Linked DNA regions of Nothobranchius furzeri. Each later gene encodes a partner of the first gene's protein in a complex. Links are inferred from orthologs where the notes say so. Each region holds a gene or a part of one and is shown on either strand. Other genes may lie near its edges. The genes, in order: ptpn11a and pdgfrb.

Region 1 (6,712 bases):
AACGAACTAGGCTCCGACTACATCAACGCCAATATCATCATAGTAATACCTGCTGCCTTCATCAGGACAGACACAGCTGTTCTGTGTTGTCCGTTAGTTTGTACTTCAGATATTTGTGTTTGTTGTTTTTGCTAAATGTGCGTGTGTTTGCAGCCGGATGTGAGCCTAAACAACACCAACAAAGTAAAGAAGAGCTACATAGCTACTCAGGGCTGCTTGCAGAACACCATCAGTGACTTCTGGCGGATGGTTTTTCAGGAAGAGTCTCGAGTCATCGTCATGACCACCAAAGAGGTGGAAAGAGGAAAGGTAATCTACACGAGTTGGGTACAACAGCAGTGACTAAAAGTTTAGAGAATAAAACAAATATCAGTCAGAATGTTTGCTGCCTCAATTTTATGATCGTTTACATCAAGTTTAGAGGAGACGTCAGATGAAGGACAGTTGATCACAAAAGTCCTCGTTTGAAACTAAGCTCATTTTCATACCAGACTTATTTTCACAGCATTTGTAAATAAGCATCTGACAGGTATGGGTTTTCCATCTCTACCTCCTCAGTGCAGTTTCACATCTGTTTCCATTAGTAACGGGTACCAGGCTGAGTTTTGTGAAACTCCCAGAAAGTAATCATTACATGTACATCAACGACTGAATAGGTTTCTAGATGACCACAGCTAATCAACATCACAAACATATTATACCTCTATTAGTCAGCTAAAAGTTGATCACAAAATCTCTGATTGCTTGATATTACATCAGGGTGTTTTATTAGTAATAGTAAAATCAGACGTTTTTCAACAAAAGCTGAACTAAATGAACATAAATGTTTCAACAGAGTAAGTGTGTGAAGTACTGGCCAGACATGTCTGCTCTGAAGGAGTATGGCGCCATGCGTGTTCGCAATGTCAGGGAGACGACCGCCCACGACTACACCCTACGAGAACTGAAGCTGTCCAAAGTTGGGCAGGTAAGCTGTTGGTGGTTTGTAGGAATAGTTTTATTGACCATTATGACTTTAGTATTAGTTAATGGTTAACTGAAAAAACATTTTTAATGATTATTTCTGATTATAATCGGTCACTCTTGAGTTTTAATGCAGGTTGAACATGAAAATAGTTTCTTACACCAATCTCCTGCATTAGCTTCTGATAGAAAGTAGACGGTGAATTGGACTTACCCATATTGACTCACGGTGGGGAAGGCTGTTGTTGTTTTATTGTCCAGAATCAGCAGAAAATGTCTCAGTAAACCGAAGATAAGCGCTAGCGTTAGCAACTCACTCACACAGCTGAAGCTCCTCCAGGCTTGTTATTTGTGGAGGTAAAACATCCATGTCCCCGAGCAAACAGAGTTAGTGGTAGAGTCGCGTTGCTGTTGTCCAGTCTGAGGCAAGATGTCCAATTATCTGCTGAGATAGGGGTTTGTGGGCTTTTTGTGGCCTGAGTTCTGCCTGCAAGGCATTCATTCCTACTGGAGACTACTGCAAATGTATTGGTTAAACGAGTGATCCACAACTTTAAATTGTTTTCTTCTTGGGGGTCTGAAAATTATTTTCATTTTACTGAAGTTCTTAGTGACGCACCATCTAAACATTGTTGTCAGGCTAACACAGAACGCACAGTGTGGCAGTACCACTTCAAAACCTGGCCAGACCACGGTGTTCCTGCTGACCCAGGTGGTGTACTGGACTTCCTGGAGGAAGTCAACCTCAAACAGGAGAGCGTTGCTGATGCTGGGCCAATAACGGTACACTGCAGGTAGGAATCTAAAAGACACGGGGGCGGCGGCGCTGGAGGGAAAACCTTTACTCCGTTTCTGTTTGGTCTTTTCCAGTGCAGGGATCGGGCGGACAGGAACATTTATTGTGATAGACATCCTGATAGATGTGATCAGAGAAAAGGGTGAGTTGGCTTTTCATCAGCACAAGGTATACATTAGCTATAACACAAAAACATACTTTATTAATGAGCCCTTCAGCTGAACAGCAGGGTACAAACTAAAACATCCCTGTTATTGTTATTAAAATATTCTCTCATCTTTGTCTCTGTAACATGCTGTGACTTTAATAAAATTCACCACATGAACGATATATAAAAAATAACCTAAAGGAATGAATGTCTGTACATGTCCTTGTATCCACGGTTCCCAGAGGTTTTAAACTTTTAGTCTGTAGTTGACAAAGATAAAGTAAAAAGCATTAAAATGAAGTTTGTGCAACAATCAGAAATTCAATTCAATTCAAATTCAAAGATACTTTATTAATCCCAGAGAGAAATTAGAGAGCAATTTTTCTGTTGCTGCAGGGGTGGACTGTGATATTGATGTACCAAAGAGCATCCAGATGGTTCGTTCTCTGCGCTCTGGGATGGTGCAGACGGAGGCCCAGTACAGGTTCATCTACATGGCTGTGCAGCACTACATAGAAACCCTGCAGAGGCGCATAGAAGAGGAGCAGGTGTGCAGCAGATGCCTTGATTCTTCATTTTACTCCTTTTTTTGTGTTTTCTTCTGTAGCCATTCTCTGTGTCTCTTCAACAGAAAAGTAAGATCAAAGGGCGTGAGTACACCAACATAAAATACTCTTTGTCTGACCTGAGTGGTGGAGAGCAGAGCCCTTTGCCTCCTTGCACACCCATTCCCACTCCCACCTGCACAGAGTGAGTAGACAGAAATGATCTGCTGTTTGACCCCATGTCAGGTTGTGTCTCACTGAGGGGTGTGTTTGTCAGGATGAGGGAGGACAGCTCCAGGGTCTATGAGAATGTGAGTCTGATGCAGCAGCAGAAGAGCTTCAGATGAGACTGACCTTCAACAGCAGAGTGCTGCTATTAATTCCAGGTAATTACAACAACACAGAAATGATAATATTCAGTGTTACATCTGTTGTTCGTGTAAACAATGCCAAACATAACCTAGATAAATGGAGATATTAACATAATAGATCAGAGCAGCTCCTCTCCTTTGGAACATTTCATTTGACTTTATTTGTAAAGCCCCTTCCACGACCTTATCAGACGCCCATGGTGCTGGACAATACAGCAGGCAACAAGTACAAATAAGATGATATAAAATGGCTATAAAAGCATAAAACCTAATAAAAGAATACTGCGCTTCGACAAACGGAACGTAAAAACCAGCAAAGAAGGCAACTGGCACACGAATAAAGGCAACTCATTCCATAGCCTCGTAGCCAACACTGAGAATGCAGTTTTATCATTCGTCCTTATAATGAGGTTCACCTATTATATATTTATTATAAAGTTACCGAATGTCTTAATTTTCTATCTTTCTGTTCACTTTAACTATGATTCGATTCAGATCAAACAAATTAGGGCTGTGCCATACCTCCAGTTTGCCACCTAAAAAACACACATGCTTCAAAGTGGCTGAATAGTTCCTGTATGTGTGGCTGCTCAAATCAAATTTAAAATGTTTTCTGTTGCTCTTACAACAGCAGTGGTTTCATGTCTGAGGCGGTGGACAGCATGAAGAGAGACAGCCGCTGTGTCTCAATTCAGGGTCTGCATCCTTCGAAGGACCCGGCCTACTCGGCCGACGTGGGCTGGGTCCTCCGTCGGCCGAGTAGACCGGATGTTAACGGCTGTGAATTTGGACAGGCCTAGCCTTCATGATTTCCCGCCACTCCCTTGGCGAACGTTCCGTCGCCTAGCAACCGTGGAACCGCTGAGCAGAAGGGAGAAGGAACTTTAAACGATGGAGCTCGAAGTTTTATTTAGCTTTTTAATAATTTCCTTGACTGTTGGAGAGCTAATTCAGAGAAAATACTTTCGACAAGCTGAGCAAAGATGTGATAATAGTTTTTAATACTTTCTAAGGGTCTTAATTTGACCAAAACCGATTTATCGCCTTTTAAGACTTTTCAGACCCAGCGGGATACCCTCTAGTAAACAATTCTCATTTGTAAACAAAAATAAAATTCAAGAGTTTAATACAGAACTGATTTTATTTAGATATTTCTTTTATATGTACATGTTTAATCTTTCTTAACCGTTATTTCTAGTAAAGTAAAAAGCTGTCAAAGTTCTCCCTTCTCTCCTGAGCCCTCTGCTGCTCTGCCTCCCTCTGCAGCCTCATGCCCTCCCTGATCAGCTCCAGAAGCTGGTCATCGCTGGCACCTTCCCCTGGATGCCCATTTTCTCCAGAATAGTCTTAACAAACATGTAAGAAAAGAAACAGGAAGAGAAAAGTCAGAGAAAGGAGGACAACAGGTTATTCCTTTCGTGTTTTCGCAGAAAAAACTAAACTTAAAATATGAGATGTTATTGTACCTCCATGCCACAGCCGCCAAATGCTTTGCTCCAGTGATCATGTGGTCCATCTCCGCCCTAAGCTTAATAAATTCCCTGGTTTTCTCTTTTGTCCCTAAAATACAAACTCCTATTAAAATCAGGGGTAAAACGTAGCGGGAGAAGTACGACACCGAGCGGCCGAACATACGAGCCGAGACCGCAATACAAGCACTTTTACTGTAACATTTCTAACTAAAATAACGTTCATGTATCACAAAAAGTCCTTAAACTGACAGTTTTCAAGTTTATACTGACATTCATATGCGCAATCCTCTCCGACAGCTCCCGCTTCACGGTATATGATAAAATTGTACTAATGGTACCATTGAAATGTCATTTGTCTTAAATACAAGTTATTTTTGTCAGCCTGAATTTATACCCGAAAATAAAACTTTATTTCAGTGAAACTCCGCCCACACCGACAAAACGTGCCTACAGCAGTGTCTTAATCCAAGTTTTTGCTTCAGCGTCAGCTCCACAAGGGAGAGACGCACAGAGACATTTTGCTCTTGGACTTTTCTGTCTCCTGGGGAGACCCCGCCAGGACAACAGAGGGTGTAGCGCTGTTCTGGGGTATCCTGTCATGTATCGGGTCCAAGAAAGTGCATTTAATATTCTGTTTATATTGTGTTTTTTGTATTTCAGATGCTTTTTGACAGGGACAAATTTGTCCCTCATTATGCGCTCACCACCTCTAAATCTACGTTTCCTGTCATTTCAGTCCATGAATAAAATGCTTGCTGCGCTTCTTTGTACTCCTCCAGTCATGAGTGAACAAAATGTTCATATTTTTAGAGTTTTTCCGCAAGGTATTCTTCAAGCTGCTCTGTGTCTACCGCTAGATATCTTTGGCTCTCTCTATGTTTTTGAGAGCGCAATGGTGGCGCTGTTGACGACAGCGACGTCCTGACCAATCACAAGCTTGTGTTCTCTGTCTCGTTTGACGGATGCTTAGAAATGCCTCTAGGCCAGATTGCCGTTATAAATGAGAATGAGTTCTCCATCGACTCACCTGGTTAAATAAACATTAAATAAAATAAAAGTGAGCTCGACTCCGTCCGTACTTGCGAGCCTGCTGGAGAGCCCTCGCAAGGACAGATAATGGCGTTGCGTGTCTTCATACAGACGCAGACCCATAAACTAGGTTTGGTGCCTACCTGCCATCCCATTTGTACCAGGTGCTGACGTGGGTTTGAATCCCTGTGGTGTTGGCAGTAATTAGTTTAGCCAGCGTAACCAAATATTTCATGTTTTTATATTTTAGTTTGATTATTTCCTACAAAATATTTGGAAGTCCAAAACATTGAAAGCTATTGCTATAATAATGGAAAAGATGAAAACTGAATTGCTTTCAAAGGTATTAATTAAAATATAGTTAATAATATGCATTGTTTTACCAGGTTGGGCTGCCTGAATGCTTTTTTTCTCTCACTAAAACACCGCTCTAACACAGAACACTGACACTTTTTTGCATTCGCAGTTTGGTTTAGCGCAAGACTGCAAAGGTTTTTGCCATCATGGGGAAGTTGTGCTTTCAGTTCAACGTAATATTATCATGATAAATGCCTTTCTGCCCCTCCCTCTCACACTAGCAAATGATGCTGAGAGGACAGAAAATGAGCAAGGGAGACAGATTACCCCAGCTTTGAATAACATCGGCCATAGTACCGCCACCAAAAGAAAGAACCACAAATAACTGACCAAATTCTCCTGGTCCTGACGAGCTCATTACTGTTGTTCAAGCATCAAACTCCTGCAGCCCAGGCCCCGCCTCGCCGACGCTCGTTGCTACAGACATAACCTGAGGAAACCTCTGGATGTGTCTGGATAGTTGAAGCAACAGATTCAGGGTCAGTCAGGAGCCTGCAAAAAATTGCGCCGTTGGCGATCACATGATAGTGTCGTCAGAAAACACGTACTTGATTAGAAATCATCGTTCAGCCCTATTAATAATTCAGATGTTCAGCAAGTTGTGTGAAAACCTTCCTAGTGTAAAGCCATGGCATTACGCGCTCTTGTCAGAGTAAATGTGAAGAACCTTTACTTTGCAGAAAGATGTTCGAGATGATTAAAACGAACTTGCAAAAAATAAAACCTTAAAACCAGGAAACTGTTTAAAATTAAGCCAGAAGAAAAACACCCTAATTACAATATGCATTGTTATTCCCTTCCAGGATCTTGATACCTGACAGTTTTCGCCAGCCACACCTTGAAGCCTGAGACTCAACCATGATGACGCAGGACACTGGGGGGGGAGAGGAGAGGGTGCCTAAACAGAACAAACTAAACTACGAGGGAGACCAGACACCAGAGTCTGCAGCGGCGGCACCTTTTTCTTGATTTTTCTACACAAACATTTTCCCTTGAGTTGAATTTGAAACCACTGTGATCGTCAGAGGAGA
Region 2 (6,712 bases), on another chromosome or scaffold:
TGCAAAAATGGCTACAACTCCATCAGCTTTGTAGTTACAGGTGTGAACTTGGTGTGGAAGTAGCTGAGAGTCATTCATAATAGACACCGACTGTGTGAGATGTAGCATGAGATTACATGTAGGATTGTTTTCAAGCTTTTACCAATTATCAATTATACCTCCTTCAAGAAACACCAGGTCTGTCATTTAGGGTGTTTTGTTTTATTTTCAGTGGGCAAAAATATGTTTCTTCTTTTGTTTTGCTCACTTTGACTGACATCTGTTACCAGTTTTGACTTAATGTCACACGACCTGCGTTTTAGCAATCATTTACAGCGTGAGGGTCAGTAATTTACCAAAATGACTCGTGGGATTTCTCTGATTTCTGTTTGCAGAACAAGGTGGTCATCAGGCAGCCACAATGAGGAGGGTGACAGCATCCGTGCTCCAGCGGACAGTTACATTCACAGGTGAGGGTTACAATCCAATCTAGCAACAAGTGAAAATGAGGGGTTTGTCTTGCAGGAGAGCAAGACCTGTTTTCAGTACTTTTAAGGCAAATTAATGCAGTTAAAGGGGACATATTATTACCTTTTTCATAAATTTTAAATAGTTCTGTGGTCAATAAAAATAAGTTTATTGAGTTTTTTTGCATAAAATCCCTCTCACATAAAGCTAACTCAGCTGTTTATTCTTGACGTTTTCAGAACCTTCCAGAATGAGCCGTTTCAGGGCGCTTTCACTTTATTTCGTAGGGGCAGCAGTAGCTCAGGAGGAAGAGCGGGTTGTCCATTAATTGGAAGGTAGCAGGTTCGATTCCGACTCTCACCAGAGATTGCTGCCGTTGTGTCCTTGGCGAAGAAGCTTAACCCGCCTTGTGTGCTGGTGGTGGTCAGAGAATAGATGGCGCCTGTGTTCGGCAGGCCTCGCCCTTGTCAGTGGTCCTCAGGGCAGCTGTGGCTACATCGTAGCTCATCCCCACCAGCGTGTGAATGGGTGTATAGCTACGTTTACGTGCTCCAAGTTTCCCCAATCCGATTCAAATCTAGGTTGATCGGAAATCTCAAATCTCTGTTCATATGGACACTAACTGAAATTATCCGATCATGCCGTGAGTATACTTACACCAAGCATTCATTCAGATTAAATAGGTTGAGCGTGTGTAGAGTTGTCTTTCCCGGAAAAAAAAACATGTAACCGCACATCTTCTCCCTCATATTTTATTTTCTTATTCTCTTTGAGCGTTGTTCGTTAACTTACGTTCCACTACTTTTGCTATTTCTGATTTCACACACAGAGACTTTTTGAAACAGCTTGATTTAGCACATAGTTGCTAAAACCAAACACTGAGAAAATGGATGAACGGGCTATTTCTACGTTTGGAGTGTTTATAGAGGTGACAGAGACCCACATGGCAGCACAAAAGTTGCATAATATGTCCCCTTTAATGTTTATTCTCAAATTAAACAGACAGTGAAACAATACATACATTTTAATCACATATTTTATAATCACAGATTATTTCCTTTAATTAATGGAAAAGTATTTAAAGTGTAATTTGATGAGCTGAATTTTGACCTCAGCACATAGACTGTAGATCAGCTGTGAGAAAACAAACGCTTTGATGTGAAGGATAAATGACGCATTCTGAATGATTTTTAATCCATCTGTCACTGAATAGCCGTCCTCATCCTCCTACTCATCTGCTCCAGACAGCTTGTATCCATCACCGGGTGGAGATAGACCAGGATCTGACTTACACTGTTGACTTGACCTCTGAACTCGTTGCACCATGTATTTGAGCCCCTCCATGCTGACCTCCTATTTTGTTGCGTAAACTGCAGCTTTGGTGCTTTTCTGCGCTGAAGTTAGCAGCCTGGAGATCAAACCTGATGGCAAAGCGTTCGTCCTGAATCGAGGCTCCACTCTCAGCCTAACCTGCTCCGGATCCAGGGAGGCAACCTGGGCGTTTAAGACAGACGATCTGAGTCAGCGTCTAAGAGAGGGAGATGAATACGGACGACAGATTTACAAAATTGCGCAGAAAAATCTGACGTCCAGTGTTCTGACTCTGCGGAGTGTGAGCTGGAGGCACACTGGTGTGTACCAGTGCACTGATGTGATCACAGGGGAAACCAAAGAGGCGGTTGTGTTTGTCCCTGGTGAGTTCTGCTTGTAATATCTTAATATTCCTAAATGCTTTCTGACAGCTAATGAGCAAACTCACGTCTCGCTGCAGATCCTGAGGTGTGGTTCATCAGTCACCACGGCGCGGTAGCAAAGACCAGTGAGGAAAGCACCATCCCCTGTGTGGTCACCAACCCAAACATCACCGTCACGCTCCACCAACAGGACAGCGGCCGGCCAATCAGAGGCCTGTATGTTCCTGGAGAGGGGTTCAAGGTGGCGCTTGAGGACAGGATGTACGTGTGTCGGGGAGAACTGAACGGGGAACTGAGAGAGTCTCAGAATTTTAACGTCTTCAGCATTACTGGTAAGTTTCCAGGTCAGACAGTTCAGATTTATTCAGTCTGAGCCCAAAAACCCAAAAGAAATAACTCATAAGAGAAGAAACGGCAAGATTTAGTACCAGAGTTATTTCCTTTGTGACAATCGCTATTTATTATGTTGTAGTACTTTTAAAGAGATTGAACCAAAGAGGTCAAAGGTCAAATGTAGCTCTGACTTGTTAGATTCAAATGTTGTTTTTAACGTTTGCTTTTGTGCAATTAGCTGATTAATGATGACTGAGGTCAGCTTGTTGCCCCTGTGATTTGTTAAATCCATGCTCTCCCCTCCTCTCCGTCACCCTCGTCTCTCCTTCCAGTCCCCAAGACCATCGACCCCTACATCAACGCCACAAAGACGGTGCTGAAGCAGGGCGAAGCGCTGACTATAAACTGCACAGTGCACGGAGTGGAGCTGGCAGATTTTTCATGGGATTTTCCCAACAGGGAGGTGAGTGGGAGCGGAGCAGAACAAGAGCTTTTGTTTCAGCTTTCTCCTTGTGTTGTTGTTTTTGTGATCCCTGTGCGGCCTCCTGACCAAACCCAAAGTGCATCAAGATGTGAAGACACACCTCGATCCTGCTGTGTAAATGCTTTCACAACATCAGGAGTGGAGAGTGACCTGTTTCTTCCGATGTCTGTTATAGGGGAACCTTGTGTTTTTTATTCACTGTTGAAATCATCTGTTAAAAGGCAAATTAAACAATTAAACTTTATTGCTAACGCAGGATTCAAACAAAGATTGCACCTAAAACTATTTTACAGATTAAAAATGACCCCACAAAGCTAACTTGTGTAAATTTGATCCTTCTGGTTTCCCTCTCTCCTTTAGCTCATGGAGGTTGAGCCTCAGATGGAGTACCTGCCCATCGCCATCATGCGCTCCTGGCTCCTCTTCCCTCAAGTCACCGTAGCTCATAGCGGCACGTACGAATGCCACGTCATTGAAAGTGTTGTAGGACACACAGCTTCTGCCAGCATCCACATCACCGTGCTCGGTTAGACACACACACACACACACACGCGCGCACACACACACACACACACACACACAAACACACACAGCTAAAACAAACTGATTCTCTGAAGATTATTATTGGGTTTGGCTGACCGACTCTTATGTTAACACTGGGATATTAAAGCAGGAGAAGGGCTGTTTAGAGGAAATGAAAACCCGTTTAATTTGTTTCTGCGGATTATGTCAAATAAACTTCGGCCCCAGCGTGAAACCCCCGAGTGATTACCTTGAAGCTCACACCTGCAAATCAGAGGGAGCAGCAGCTCTATATTTAGACTTTAGGTGAGGATGTGTTTGTGTTTCTGGGAATTTTCTTTAAACAGAAACTCATATAAATTTACAACACAGGACTTGGAGCCAATAAAAACAGGATTCCTCTGACTGAACTTGTTTTTTCTCGTGCTACGTCCACCCCTGCATGCACGTTGGGGGTGTGTTTGCTTACTCCATCTGCAGCGAGGTGTGTTATGTTTTAAAAGACCTTTAAATAACTCAAACCTCCATGTTGGATGGAAACAGGAGACCAGGGTTGTTGTTAGTTTTGTCTAATAGACAGGTCTGCCACCCAACGCGGAGGCCAGATGAGTTTGATTAATGTCAAACTTTGCATATATAAAAGCATTACACACATATTAAATGTTTTTATTAGGCATATCACATCCCGCTCGTTAAGAGAAGATTGTGGGAATAATTTTGGTCAGACTCAACAAAAAATTCTCCACTGTTTTCTTCTCACAACATTTCTGGCCAGAAGAAGTGAACAGAACCTGAGAGGATAAACACTTTCCTGGGGGCTTGGGGAATGCGGCACCTTAGCCCATCTCCTGCACACGCCTGTACACGGTGGCTCTGGATGTTTCTACTCCAGACTCAGTCCACTGCTTCCGCAGGTCCCCTAAGGTCTGGAATCGGTCCTTCTCCACAATCTTCCTCAGGGTCCGGACGGTCACCTCTTCGTGTTGTGCAGCGTTTTCTGCCACACTTTTTCCTTCCCACTGAGGTGCCTTGATACAGCACTCTGGGAACAGCCGATTCATTCAGAAAGTTCTTTCTGTGTCTTACCCTCTTGCTTGAGGGTGTCAATGATGGCCTTCTGGACAGCATTCAGGTCGGCAGTCTTACCCATGATTGCGGTTTTGAGTAATGAACCAGGCTGGGAGTTTTTAAAAGCCTCAGGAATCTTTTGCAGGTGTTTAGAGTTAATTAGTTGATTCAGATGATTAGGTTAATAGCTCGTTTAGAGAACCTTTTCATGATGTGCTAATTTTTTGAGATGGGAATTTTGGGTTTTCATGAGCTGTATGCTAAAATCATCAATATTAGAAACAATAAAAGGCTTGGACTACTTCAGTTGTGTGTAGTGAATCTAATATATATGAAAGTCTAATGTTTATCAGTACATTACAGAAAATAACGAACTTTATCACAATATGCTAATTTTTTTGAGAAGGGCCTGTGCATGCACAAAAAATACCACAACTCTAAAGGAAAGCTTATCCTGCAACTCAATATAAATATTCTGATTATCTGATTGTTGCTGATGTCAGCTAAGATATCACTCAGATAAATAAATCAACATCTTTTTCTAATTTTATTTAAAATACATTAAAATTAACTATTTGTAGGTTGTCGTGTTGTTATGCCAACTTTAAGCTCACTGGCAGGTTTAGAATTACAGTTACTGGATGAAATAAGAAAGAAAACATACTGCAAATAACAAAAGTTTCATAAAACATTTATATAAAACCAGCAAATGTAGATGATTTTGTGACTATGGAACATATTTCAGAGCTGAAACAGAAGAAATGCCCTCACTAAAGCACATTCCCAGTTTGCTAAATGTTTTAATTTAAACACAGATGCACTACACGTGAGCAGTGGTTCATTCCTGCAGACGTGCACTGTTTGCATGTTTCTGACTAGAATAGAAAAACAGACATGCAAGAAATACTTAAAAGATTAAATAGAAAATGCTTTACAAAGGCTTGTTTTCTTCTCAGAACACGGTTTTGTGGACATGAAGCCCATGCAGCATCAGAGGATCTCAGCCAAGCTCCAGGAGAACGTGGAGCTGAGGGTGGACATCGAGGCCTACCCTCCTCCTCAGATTCTCTGGACCAAAGACGGCACCGCCATCAAGGGAGACACAGCCATCCTCTCCAGACAAGAGCATGAAATAAGGTGGAACAGCTCATCTAAATGCCTCCTTATATTTAAAGAATTATCAAAAACTTTGGACAGTCCAGGAGCCTCCAGAGGCGATCTGTCCGTCACCACCAGATGAGACCTCCACAGAGAGAAATCCAATCCTCTCCAGAGGGAAGGAAGCCATCTTTCAGCGCACAGGAACCATAAACACTAAATACCTATCACAACTCCCTAATGACCCTCAAACGCTCAACAAAGCCTGGGCTCTTGCCTTTTCAACCAAAACGATCGAATTAAATGGGATTTTAAAAGTTCATTGTTGAAAAGCCTCGAATCAATCAGTAAATCAGAAAAGTTCCTGTCCAACAGTTCTGCTTTTGGCTGAAATCGTCAGAAGATCATGTTTGATTATTGAGACGTGTTTGTCCTATTAATGGTGTTTTTCTTCTTTCTTTTTTCTTTTATTTTTTCTTTTATTTTTTCTAATTTTTACAAATTATTCATGTAGGTTAATCATTCATGTTAGAAATGATTGGAAAACAACATACCATATTTCAAATTTTTATCTAAACATTCCCATAAGAGACGTTTTTCCGTAGTCCCTGAGAGCCTCTCTGATGGAGGTTCTAACAAAACGTTGAACCTGTGGACATTTAGCTCCAGACAGAAGTTAATCTAATCAAACCCAAGAAACTCCTGAAAGATCGATGATTGTTTTTATTTTCCTGACAGCTTGTTCATTTGGCTTTTGCCTCAGGTATCTCACCATTCTCACCTTGGTGAGGGTGAGGGCGGAGCAGAAAGGCCTCTACGCTGTCCTCGTTACCAACGGAGACGACACGAAGCAGGTTGTCTTTGACTTGGAGGTCCAAGGTGTGAAAAAGTTCTCACAAACTCTAGAATGTTTAAATATTTGACACATTTTTGTTGTTTTTTTTCTCCACAAACATGTTTTTAAAGTAGCGTTTGAAGGCAAACTCAGTCATGATTAAAGCCTCCGCCTCCATGTTTGCAGTTCCAGCTCAGATTAAAGACCTGACAGACCACCACCTCCCAGGGC

Evidence for each region.
Region 2: the proteins of ptpn11a (region 1) and pdgfrb are in contact, whole or in part, in a crystal structure (PDB 1AYA), measured with the Mus musculus proteins. The link is inferred for Nothobranchius furzeri from reciprocal best matches to the Homo sapiens genes PTPN11 and PDGFRB. Residues at the interface, in NP_001103462.1 of Mus musculus: Gly13, Val14, Glu17, Arg32, Pro33, Ser34, Lys35, Ser36, Thr42, Thr52, His53, Ile54, Lys55, Leu65, Gly68, Gln87, Leu88, Lys89, Glu90, Lys91, Gly93, Ile96; in NP_032835.2 of Mus musculus: Ser1005, Val1006, Leu1007, Tyr1008, Thr1009, Ala1010, Val1011, Gln1012, Pro1013.

What each region holds. Positions count from the first base shown.
Region 1 is NC_091746.1:40,326,074-40,332,785, reverse strand, and holds part of ptpn11a (tyrosine-protein phosphatase non-receptor type 11), read left to right. Parts: coding exon 1-42; intron 43-153; coding exon 154-309; intron 310-835; coding exon 836-967; intron 968-1,602; coding exon 1,603-1,757; intron 1,758-1,833; coding exon 1,834-1,901; intron 1,902-2,303; coding exon 2,304-2,455; intron 2,456-2,538; coding exon 2,539-2,657; intron 2,658-2,729; coding exon 2,730-2,799; 3' UTR 2,800-2,838; intron 2,839-6,484; 3' UTR 6,485-6,712. UniProt on the Homo sapiens protein: Acts downstream of various receptor and cytoplasmic protein tyrosine kinases to participate in the signal transduction from the cell surface to the nucleus. Positively regulates MAPK signal transduction pathway. Dephosphorylates GAB1, ARHGAP35 and EGFR.
Region 2 is NC_091741.1:96,097,999-96,104,710, reverse strand, and holds part of pdgfrb (platelet-derived growth factor receptor beta), read left to right. Parts: intron 1-374; 5' UTR 375-400; coding exon 401-449; intron 450-1,823; coding exon 1,824-2,141; intron 2,142-2,218; coding exon 2,219-2,473; intron 2,474-2,806; coding exon 2,807-2,937; intron 2,938-3,318; coding exon 3,319-3,484; intron 3,485-5,504; coding exon 5,505-5,685; intron 5,686-6,409; coding exon 6,410-6,525; intron 6,526-6,667; coding exon 6,668-6,712. UniProt on the Homo sapiens protein: Tyrosine-protein kinase that acts as a cell-surface receptor for homodimeric PDGFB and PDGFD and for heterodimers formed by PDGFA and PDGFB, and plays an essential role in the regulation of embryonic development, cell proliferation, survival, differentiation, chemotaxis and migration.